Saccharomyces cerevisiae S288C: one gene and its partners. The protein of the gene in region 1 binds, or shares a complex with, the protein of each later gene. Each region holds a gene or a part of one and is shown in the gene's direction. Other genes may lie near its edges.

Region 1 (2,536 bases):
GAGATTATTTGCTGAGTATTTAAGTCCCAGATTTTTATAATCCCGTCAGTCAACCCGCAATATAAAAATGGGAACTCAATAGTTTGGGATATGACGCTATCTTCATTGTCGATTTTATCGTTTATCAAGGAGATTTTAACAGTGTTTTGCCCTTTATCTTTAGAGAACTCCCAAAGCTTGCTTATTCCATCACCAGCGGATGAAATTATGTGCTCTGCACCAGAAGTTCGTGAGCTTTTTTCCAATAACTGATTAAACCTGGGACACAATTTATTAATAGAATAAATAAACCCATAATGTGCATATTTAATAATGTTTTCGGAGGGAACCTCTATGATGGCAGCGCCACAGTTTTCTTGTAGAGAGGTCAATGAAGTTTGAGATAATGAATTTGAACTATATCCAGTCGGACCTAACGAATCAAAGAACTTATCATATCTTCTATGCGGTAATTTATTGATATTTTCTACTCCATCAGAGGATTTTTTTTCAATCTTCTGAATCAAGTTCTCAACATATAGTAAGCTTGCATTTTGACAGCCAAAGACAATAGTTTCCAACGAATCCAAATATGCCAATGAGAAAATATCACCAATATCGGTCACTGAGTAAACAGTGGCTATTTCAGTAACAGGTAGAAAGTCATCTCTAATGGTCTTTTCGCCAATGGACCAAATTCTCACCAAAGAATCTGCGCCGCCTGAAAATAAAAAGTTTTCATCTTCTGATCCTGTCAAGCACAAAACCGAAGATCTGGTATGCGTTTCCTCTTGTGATTCGCCTAGTCTAATCGTATGTATTAGATTATATGTGGGAAGATCAAAAACCAATATCTTGGAGTCTTGGCTACCAGCAAACAACAATCTTTTTTTTGGAAATGCAACAATGGATAAGATGGAAAAAGCGTGATTCCACCTATGAATTAGTTCAGAGTGCAATGCGACACCCCTGCTATCGTACATGATTTCACAATTACTTCTGCCCTCGTTTTTCACTTTTCCTTACAGGGTTGTTCGGTTTCTCGAAATAGTTTTTCACTTAAATAATTCAGTTACACACATTTTATTGATATTGGTGCCACAGCTTTTCGCGGCGCACAATGCGATTATCACTCAAGTTTATGGTAAAGTCGGTATTCCCTCTCATGAGAAAAAAAAAAAAAGATACCATCTTCATTGAACTTCTAATTGCAGCAGTAATTGTGAGCAATGCTCAAGAGCTTCCTTACCATATAACAAAACATCGAAATCAGAGGATCATTCTAGATCAAAGTGAAATGCCCTTAACTATGAAAAGGAATACGAAAATAGCTGTGAAGTGTTATTATAATTATTAACAAGGTTAGTAATCTTTAAACAGAGCCTAATACTTGCGGGAAGGACTTTCAATGTTGCTTCACTGCAGCTTGTTGGCGGCTATTTGATGATGATTTTCTTGAGATACATAATTATTATTATCACGTTTCACGGATTATTTTTGAAAAGCTAGAATTAATACAAAAGATAGGACTATTGAAGTAGTATACACCAATTTTTGCTTAAAAAAACTACGGGAATCAAAGATTACCTTGAAAGTGAGGACAGCAAATAACTAAAATGAAAGGCTCACCCATTTCTCAATTTAGTAAGACCTCTATTAATGCTCTTACCAGGCCTTGGAAGAAATACAGAGATGGTGAATTATTTTATGGGTTATCAAAAGTTGGGAATAAAAGAGTGCCGTTGACCACGAAGCAAGGTAACAAGACGATGTACAAAGGGACAAGAGCTTCAGGGATTGGTAGACATACAAAATTCGGTGGTTATGTGATAAACTGGAAGAAAGTCAGAACCTATGTTACCCCAGATATGGTTAATTTCGAATTAAAGCCCTACGTTAACGCAAATGTACCACCTCTAAAACACGAATTTAAAGGATTTAGCGGCGGCCCATTAGATCCTCGTTTACAGTTATTAAAGATAAAAGAATACATAGTAAACGGGAGGGTACAAAGCGAAGGGGCCACCGACACTTCATGTTATAAGGAGCGTGGATAAGTTATTTATAATCTTTCTTCAATATGCGTGTAAATACTAGTTTTCGACTTTATAGGTAGATAAAAAATAAAACTTAAGATTGTAAAACAAAATCAAATAAAACATGGCTTAGACATTGCACCATATGTCATCTTTCTTTGAGTTAAATATAGATACATATAAATCTAAAAGAAGAGCAAAAAGTTCGTACGTATATAAATGCGCGTAGCAGAGAGAATTTGATCTTCTTTTTTGTTTTCCTTCTTTTTTTTCTTTTCTTTGTTTACATAGCACCTGGAACACCCAAGACTTGATTCAAAGCACTTTGACCGCCACTTTGTTGGTATTCAATGGTAATGACTTCTAGCAAAGAAAACCCACCAGCAATGCCAACAACTATACCAGCAGCTTTACCTTTCAAACCCAAAGATTCACCGATAACGGTGATCAAACTTAAGACGGATGCACCCGTAACAGCTGCGATTGGAATGACTTTGTTCAATTCTTTAGCGACATTCTGT
Region 2 (4,395 bases), on another chromosome or scaffold:
CATTTGGTAATGGGCCGGAGTGTTTACCCCAGCCGACTTTGCAACGTTTTTTCTGGACTGTGAATCCATACAAAGAACTCATTGCATAAAACTGCGCAGCAGCAGTAGGATCAATGAATGTTACAAAACAGACGTATCGATCGTTCAATAGTTTTATACTTTGTAATAAACCTCCACGAACTGCATTACATATTTCTTCAATTTTAACATCCTTAGGCAAGCTGCCCAGGTAAACAGTCCTGTTACCCAAGTTATTGGGGCCGCCCGCAGATGTAGCAATTGCAGCAGCAGCAGCAGACTGTTGTAACAAAGCGTTAGATATAAATTCACGATCAGAAAACTCTATCATATGTTCCATACCAGGTTGTACACCTAGAAATTGAGCCGCATTATGTTGTTGAGTTTTGGTAATAAATGCACATCTGTCCTTTCCATAAAATATTCTCTTATTTTGATAGTATGGATTTCTAATTGGCAGATTCGTAACCACTTTTATAGCATTTAAAATAGACGCAAAATGAATAAAGGCGATTCCCTTTTCCTTGATAATTTTTATACAGTCAATTTCACCATATTCTTCTAAATCAACCCTCAATTGCTCCTCAGATAAATGTGATTCTTCGCCTTCAATCGTCATACGGCCAATGTATACATTTCTTGTGGCACCGTCCGTAGAGATTCTAGCCGCTACAATAGGATCAATTCGAGTTGGTTTCCCCCACCCGATTTTGATATCCCTGTCACCGATGTTCAAGCGCTTTAAAATTGCGTCTGAATGGAACAATAGTGCAGCACTTTCATCTATAAACGAAACGAATGCACACATCTTTTCAGGTATGATTTTGACGTCTTCAACGACACCACTTCTGACATGATCCAATAACTCTTTAACGCTTAGGTTTGGTGGCACATTACCCAAATAAACAGTTCTACTTGGGGCCGATGTAAAATTCAAAGGATTATTGGCTTGTGCATTAACTGGTAAAGGCGCATTTGCGTTGGTTACTGCAGTTGCAGTTGCCATAATAGTGGGTGACATGCCATCAGATAACACATTTGGATTCTCATCATCAAAAGGAGAGACTTCATTTGATGACCTTTCATATTCATAATAACGATTGTTATTGTGGACAACTTCGTTATCAATTTCGAAATTTTGTTCCTGTGAAAACCGTTGCTGTTGTGAATCATTTCGCTGCTTTGTCTGGAATTGAGTTGGTTGCTGTTGAATACGCTGATAATCAAAAATTCCGTCATTCTCGTAAAAGAACGAATCATTAGGCTCTCGTGTAAAGTCGGATGGTAAAAGAGTAAAATTACCATTCATAGGATACACAGCATCGCCAAAGTTTTGAGGGCCACTCGCATAAGTTTCTTGGTAAGGGCCGGAAGAACTGGACTGTTGATACATTGCAAAGTCATCGGAAGAAGGAAAAGGAGGGAACATGTTATTATTGTTATTATTATTACTGATATTATTATTGTTATTGTTATTGTTATTGTTATTATTATTGTTATAAGAAACCACCATGTTTTAATGCAATTGAAGTAGTATGTGATGGTGAAGAAAAAAAAAAATACAACGATAGTTCTTTGTTTTTCTTTAGGAAATATCTGAATAGAAAAGGCTTCAACGACCAGAATTGAAAAAATAAAATAGTATTAGCAAAGAAAAATATGATATTTTTTTTCAAAAAAAAAAAGAGTGTCCTTGAGAATTGAAGTTGGAAACGGATATTAATTAGACAAAAAAAATGATGAAGAAAGATAAAGTGAAAAATATGAGGCTGGAATGGACAGTTGAACCAATTAAGGAGCCTAATTGGTAAAGCAGAACAGGTGAGTCAGAAGACTTAAAAAGGGGCAAATATCAAATAACGGAAGAACGAAGAAAATAGAAGAATACAATGTTCAAAAGAAATGAAGCGTATGTGTATCTAAAGGAAAGGTACAGAGACTATCAGTTCTAGAAATTGTAAATTGGTAAAATAAACAGAGAAAGGAAGCTTAAGGAGAGAATTCAGTGGGGAATGTGACTCTGTGAAAATAATGTATAAGAGTGGGCAACGGTGTTCTCGTAGATATAGCGCTGTGCTGAACCAAGTTTAGTTTTTTTTACTTTCCACCAAAGGCAAAGAAACTGATTAATTTATTGCTGTGACGAAGGGATGGAGTATGATTGCGGTTGTGACTGAATCTCTTTGTAGACTTTCGGACAACCACAAGATCCACTTTCTGGTAAAGTTAATTTCAAGATCGTGTTTTTTTCTGTCTTTTCTTTCTCTTCTCATAGCCAAAATCGTACCACAAGGAAAAAAAGCACCGGGTTACCATGATGGTGGAATCCCACTGTAAGAACATAAGAATGATAAGTACGCAACTGCCACGGCAGTTGGAAGAAAGACATAGTCTGCCCTCATTCGGCGTGTATTATTGGACGTCAAGTTACCTTTTCCAAGTGTTTCCCTTTTTTGTCTTTTGAATTTGTCAATAGGGAGTGAAAGGTCCATAGTTCAAGGGCATTCCAAAAGTGAGGATAAAAAAAGCGTAGTCATAAACACTTCAACGGTGTTGCCGAGAATGACGACGGTCCGGTAGAAGGTGGTGCTTTTATCTATGTATTAGTTATTTACTATCTGCGTAACGAAACTATGATTTTTTTTTTCTCTCACCCAAGCCGAAATTAAAAATTCTGTCTTCGCACTTATTCCAAATAGAAAGGGAATGAATCGTGGAACTATTGGCATTGGGATATAGCCTCGATCTACTCGCATATAACGGCTACGGTTCATAGTACAAATCTCAGAATTTTTCAGCAAGCGAAAGGATTTCAAAGAATGTTTTTACAGACTCTCCGCCTAACTATGCCAAGGATGTTTTTGCACATGAAACCGTCCCCCATAACGATAACAAGGGCCTGCACAGTGCCCAGCCTCCTATCTGTTGCAGCTCCGCAACCAGCTCTTGTTGCAGCTAACAGACCTTTGGTTTTTAACAGAGGTTTCAAGGTCAGAACATCTGTCAAAAAGTTCTGCAGTGATTGCTACTTGGTAAGAAGAAAGGGAAGAGTATACATTTATTGCAAGTCGAATAAAAAACACAAACAGCGTCAAGGCTGAAAGATGTAAATCTCTTCGCTGTTCTCCGTTCGGGTGTTTACAAAATATTCTCATTTTCTAAAATCTGTAAATAATACATATCTATAATATTCTTTTATGTATATGTTAATTTTTTGTATCATTTTTTCCAAATTGATAAACCAACACCTCCGATCAGTAACGTTTTCTCAGAATCAGCATCTTCATCATTGGAAATGATTTCTAATGATCCTGTATCCGCCACAGTGGTACGCTTTTTATCTACCAGTGAAAGCTTGCCTGCGGTAATTTCCCAAGCGCGTATTACTTGATCAACCGATGTGGTAATGACTTCTTTGCCACCATTAATCAACATACCGGACGTTATTGTCGAAGAAGCTGCTGCAGCGATAAAGTCACTTGTTTTTAACGTTACTTTATTCGAGTCATCTAATTTCAGGTTGCTTAACCCTAAACCATTATCATCACCCCCTGTCAAAATTGTGGCGGAAGTTCTTGTAGCATTAGCAACATAGTCTAGGGACTTGACACCAGATTGATGTACCGGCAACTGCGCTACAGGTGCGGGAAGATTTGAGATAGTAGCGTCCAGTTTGTGGTCAACCAAATCGCCAGAAATCGGATCAACGGAAAATGGTACGTACTCGGTTATATTATAAACCACTAAATGTCCATCAGTTGGTGAAATGACAACAAGGAGCTCTTCTTTCAGTGCAATAAATACGACGTTGAATAAACAGCACGTCTTATAACGACCTTGCATGATCAGGTCAAACTTATTCTGATTTTCCCTATAGTGCCAAATCTTTATTGTTGAATCTGAATAAACAGTAACTAATAAGAAGTCACCTGACTGTGATATAAATTTGACATCAAAATCCATGATCCTTAGATCAGAATTATTTGTGGATACAGGTAAAGCTTGTCGTATGGTCATATATGGTCGTTTATTATACTTATCGTTCAATTCCCATAAGAATAACTCCTCTCTAGCTGAAGATGATATCATTAGTTTGTGATTTATAAACTGACAACGTTGTAATCCAGACACATGCTTTCTTTGTGTCCAAAAATTCTGCACCTTCCCTGTTCTATTGTTAAAATATCCCAGCTTAATTGTAGTATCTTCAGATGCAGTACAGAATATATGCCCATCCTTAAAATTGTCATTCGTGTTGGTATTTGAAACAGGACAGATTGAAATATCTCTGATTTCCCTTCCGTGTACACCATTTTCTAAAGTTTCAGGCACAATGGAGTTGTAAATTTTCCTTAAATGAAATCGGGATGCCTTAAT
Region 3 (4,921 bases), on another chromosome or scaffold:
GCAGCTCATCAGCGTGAACTGGAGCAAAACCTAAAAGATGGTGATTACAATCTGGTAGGAAGCAAGGAAATCCCAGATCCAATCACCGTTCCAGCTCCAACTAGACACACCACTAAACCCGCCGAAAGCCAATCGATTCCCATCAAGAATAATGAAACCTTACACAAAACCACGCACGGCCTAAAGCAAAAATTGCAACACGCATAATCTAGTTTTTTTTTTTTTCTCTCTTCTTTCTAGCTAGTAGTTCATTTCCTTTTCTTTTTTTCAAAGAGGTCATATTTATCACCAACTATATATTTTTTTGAAGAAAAGATATCATTACAACGATAAGTAGTTACAATATTTTTTTTATTTAGTTTAAAATAATGAGTAAATGACGTCGCATTTCTTCGCTTTTGTTATTTTTATTCTCCTCTCATTTTTGAGGAGAATGTTACAATATTTTACTAATGTCCTGAATAATATTTGATTTATGGCATAATAAAGAAATGCGAATTCGTTAATTTGTCAAACTTCGAAGAGCATCAACTGCCTTCCTGAATCCCATTCTTGCAGCCCTCTGATAATATTGTTTGGCCAGATCCAAATCAACTTCACAACCGACACCTTTTTCGTAATAAAATCCTAAGGCAAATTCAGTGCGGGCTAATTTACCGTCTGAACACTTGCTGCTCTTCAAGGCCCAGTTGAATGCCTCTTTATTGTTTGGTTTCAAAATATTTGGTGCTCCCGTTAAGTACCATCCACTTAAGGATAACATTGCCATCGGATTCCCCTTCGGCTGAGCAGCAGCAGCTTTGGAATACCAATATATGGATTTTTTGGCCACCACTGGCAACCCTAGGTCTCCAAACTCATAACAATTTCCTAATTTCCATTGCGCTAAAGGGTACTCAAAATCTTTGGCACATTGTTGGTAGTATTTTATTGCCAGTTGAGAGTCTTTTCGTATGCCGTTCGCAAATAATAGGTTCTGGATTTCTGGCGGCAAAACACTGAATTCATATATTTTACCTAACTCATATAATGTTTGTGGAGAGTCACCCTTTTGGGCAGCTTTATCAAACCATTTAATAGCTAGCAATACATCAGTCTTTTGCATGTTCAGACCGTATAAATGGCTCATCCCTAATTTATACATACACGCAGAATTTGAACAAACTTCTGCGCCATGCTGGTAGTATTGGAAGGCCTTTTTTATGCATTGTTCTTTGGTTGGTGATGGATCCAAAGAAGAGGTGCCCCTTTGGTATTCAAAGCATACACCTGCACGGTAGCATGCATCTGAATTGTTCAATTTCGCAGCTTTACAATAATATTCCAGCGCCTTTTCATCATTTTTAATAACGATGTTTTTGTTCTTTATAGGTAAATAGGGTTGGTGTGAATACAGCGTCCCCATTAAATACATGGCAGGTGGCCATTTTAAAGTTATCAATTTTGTGAGCACCTTGAATGAATGTTCCAAAATGACTTTCTGGTTTTTGAGCATTTCCTCAGGCTTTAAGCTTCTTTTGAGCTTCTCCGCGTTTATGTTATATTGCGATATGAAATCCTCATTAAAGGCATATGTAAGTAATGTTTCACACCATTGCATTTGTATCTCGGGGGTGAATTTTGAAGAGTCAGTAATTGTCTTCTTGTACACTTGATAGAAAGCCAATGCCTCTGGTGAATAGGAAGACAGTTTGTCCTCACCACCTGAGGACCCATTATCGTCTGTCTTCGCGCTCCCAGTGGGTGGTTGGTTGATTTTTTGTGGTGGAACAGGATTATTATTCAAAGGTCGTATTGGAGCTTTTTCCTCGGTTCTGTAAACTTTTTCCTGCAGTATCCTAGATTCAGATTCCTCATAGGGTGGTGGCGCTGAGTTGTCCCTTACAGACTCTGATATTCGATTTCCACTGCTTATTGATGCATCTTGTACAGCTGGTGAACCCAAACTCTCTTTTGTAGAACTAAAATTGAAAGGAAGTTCATACCTACTACCAGTACTGTTGGTGCCATTATTGGCATATCCTATTTCACCTGTTGGCTTGGAATTAAAAATGTCCATGCCGTTATTACTATTTATGGTTACTGGAGTGCCTAATTGACCACCATCAGCATTCCCGTCTGTGAAATTCAGCGCACTCAAAGGCAGCGATAATGATGAGGAAGATGAAGGGGATGTAAAAGGAATAGCTGGTGTGAGTTCAACGATAGAGTCATCCACTGGATAGGGTGCAGGCACTATATTTTGAGCTGGCAAACCATGCCTATCCGAATTGGCATTTCCCAATTTATGCGAGGACTCCCGCGCCCTTGCTGGTGGAAACATGTTAATGTGTTTGTCATAGAGGTTAGGTTGCGGTTGGCCCTGATTAACCATTGCCTACTGTATTAAAACAAAGTATTAAAACGTGGTGGTACACTCTGTACAAAAGAATAGAAGGAAATGAAAAGAAAACGGAGTTAAAATCTACTTCATAAAAAGAGACGCTTCCAAATCCAGTCTCTACCACGTTCTTGTATATAATTTGAGCAACTCAAATTAAATTACCGGGATATCTGCTTATTCTACAAGCCATAGCATCCAGTGCTAAGGTTCATCTCAAGCCATCTTCAATACACTTGATAATTAGTCGTCAATTTTAAAATTAGGTTTCGTTCTTGAAGGCACTTAACCTAAGCTTTTTACTATATGACCTATTAAACAAGTCTTTTTCATAGTGTAACCTAACGTTTATACACTAATAACCCTAGGGCTTAGTAGAGATTCATACAGAAAAAAACGTAGAGTTATAGCAGTAAACTGAGAAAAGAAAGAAGGTTAGTACAATTGAAGAGTAAGGAAAACAAAAGCTTTAGACCTTATTGGAAGTGCTTGGGCGCGGAGTGTGATTATAAATAATGTTGCAGCTAAGGTTTATGCCTGGATGGGTCCCCAGAAATGGTTTTTTTGGTTTGAAGGAGACAATTGGTACAGTACATAAGAGATTTTATGCTCTGGCTTCTGAACAACCCTCAAGAAAGACAGTAAAGCCGCTGGACTCGAGGAAGACGTTTCTCATCGATACATACAAGCATTTAATGGAGAACAGTTCTATGATTTTTTTTGTCCATTACAATAATCTTTCCAAAACAGAAGATCACCATTTCAGATTCAAGATTAAACAGACAGGAGGGAAACTCACAAAAGTAAGAAACAACCTGTTCGAAGTCTACTTGAGAAATTCGCATCTGCCCGACCCATGTGGATTCGTGAAGCGTAAAGAGCAAAACTGGAAACATCCACTCTTGCCACTACTGAAGGGTCCTACGGCCACAATTACATACGAAGACACCAACCCTCAACAAGTAGCCAAGCTATTGAAGGTTCTGCAGTCAGCACAAGACAAGCTGATGGTGATTGGTGCAAAAGTAGAAAACGAAGTTTTGAATGTGGAAAAAATAAACACTTTTAAGACTCTCCCCACAAAGCCGGAAATGCAGTCGCAGTTAGTCAGCGTTTTGCAAATGCTAAGTGGGTTGGGTTTGGTTCGTACGTTGGAAAACAGTTCAAATGCATTGTATTTAACACTAAAATCTCACAATGACAACCAAAAACCTAAAGAGGATGTGGAGTCAACTACAGATGCAGAATCGAAGGGATCAAAGTAAAAAGAAAATGCCCGTAATTCGACAAGTTTTATAAAGGTTTTACTATTCAATCATGTACATACATCATCAAAAAATAAAAAGACAATGAAGCAATAACGGTAAATATACTTTAGTCTATGTATTGACGTCAAAATTACCTTTCTTTTACCTTTCTTACCTTTTTACATATCTCAGCGACCGTTGAAAAAAAAAAAAAATGAAAAATTTTGGTGATGACTTCAGCAAAAAATTTCAGGATATTTCTGACATTTCACTTTATTAAAGCGCCACAAAAGCTGGATTAGTATAGATTCAGCAGTTCCCATAGGATAAAATTTTCAAGCGTTTATTGTTAAGATGAAAGCCAAGCCACTAAGCCAAGATCCAGGCTCCAAGCGTTACGCATACCGTATAAATAAGGAAGAAAATCGTAAGGAGTTGAAGCATGTAAAGATCAATGAAAGTTCTTTGGTGCAAGAAGGCCAAAAGATCGACTTGCCAAAGAAGAGATATTATCGTCAAAGGGCGCATTCCAACCCATTTTCAGATCACCAGTTAGAGTACCCAGTATCTCCCCAGGATATGGATTGGTCCAAATTGTACCCTTACTACAAAAACGCGGAAAATGGACAAATGACAAAGAAGGTGACGATTGCTGATATTGGCTGTGGATTCGGTGGGTTGATGATAGATTTATCACCAGCCTTCCCTGAAGATCTTATCTTAGGGATGGAAATTCGTGTGCAGGTTACAAATTACGTGGAGGATAGAATTATTGCCTTAAGGAACAATACAGCTTCAAAACATGGATTTCAAAACATTAATGTCTTGAGAGGTAACGCTATGAAATTCTTGCCCAACTTTTTTGAAAAGGGCCAGCTTTCTAAAATGTTTTTTTGTTTCCCCGATCCTCATTTCAAACAAAGAAAGCATAAGGCAAGAATTATCACTAACACCTTGCTGAGTGAGTACGCATATGTTTTGAAAGAGGGCGGTGTCGTGTACACAATTACAGACGTCAAAGACCTGCATGAGTGGATGGTAAAACATTTAGAAGAGCATCCTTTATTTGAACGGTTGAGCAAAGAATGGGAAGAAAACGATGAATGTGTGAAAATAATGAGAAATGCCACAGAAGAAGGTAAAAAAGTGGAAAGAAAGAAGGGTGACAAGTTCGTCGCTTGTTTCACAAGATTACCAACGCCAGCCATATTGTAACATAGATGTATAACTAGAACAATTTACCACATATACATAACTATTTCTTATGTTTATTTTCCTAAAATCCTTTATCCAA

What was found. The genes of interacting proteins can lie anywhere in the genome.
Region 2: MRPL27 (region 1) and RTC6 share a complex: the UniProt entries of both Saccharomyces cerevisiae proteins name them as parts of the mitochondrial large ribosomal subunit.
Region 3: MRPL27 (region 1) and MRPL11 share a complex: the UniProt entries of both Saccharomyces cerevisiae proteins name them as parts of the mitochondrial large ribosomal subunit.

Annotation. Positions count from the first base shown.
Region 1 is NC_001134.8:766,645-769,180, forward strand, and holds MRPL27 (mitochondrial 54S ribosomal protein mL41 MRPL27), read left to right. Parts: upstream 1-1,595; coding exon 1,596-2,036; downstream 2,037-2,536. Other genes in the region: glutamine amidotransferase subunit DUG2, read right to left, coding at 1-962; SSH1 (Ssh1p), read right to left, coding at 2,299-2,536. UniProt on the Saccharomyces cerevisiae protein: Component of the mitochondrial ribosome (mitoribosome), a dedicated translation machinery responsible for the synthesis of mitochondrial genome-encoded proteins, including at least some of the essential transmembrane subunits of the mitochondrial respiratory chain.
Region 2 is NC_001148.4:196,258-200,652, forward strand, and holds RTC6 (mitochondrial 54S ribosomal protein bL36m RTC6), read left to right. Parts: upstream 1-2,837; coding exon 2,838-3,119; downstream 3,120-4,395. Other genes in the region: MRN1 (Mrn1p), read right to left, coding at 1-1,531; tRNA (34-2'-O)-methyltransferase regulator RTT10, read right to left, coding at 3,238-4,395. UniProt on the Saccharomyces cerevisiae protein: Component of the mitochondrial ribosome (mitoribosome), a dedicated translation machinery responsible for the synthesis of mitochondrial genome-encoded proteins, including at least some of the essential transmembrane subunits of the mitochondrial respiratory chain.
Region 3 is NC_001136.10:95,580-100,500, forward strand, and holds MRPL11 (mitochondrial 54S ribosomal protein uL10m MRPL11), read left to right. Parts: upstream 1-2,895; coding exon 2,896-3,645; downstream 3,646-4,921. Other genes in the region: RTN2 (Rtn2p), read left to right, coding at 1-207; ACK1 (Ack1p), read right to left, coding at 503-2,374; TRM8 (tRNA (guanine46-N7)-methyltransferase), read left to right, coding at 3,982-4,842. UniProt on the Saccharomyces cerevisiae protein: Component of the mitochondrial ribosome (mitoribosome), a dedicated translation machinery responsible for the synthesis of mitochondrial genome-encoded proteins, including at least some of the essential transmembrane subunits of the mitochondrial respiratory chain.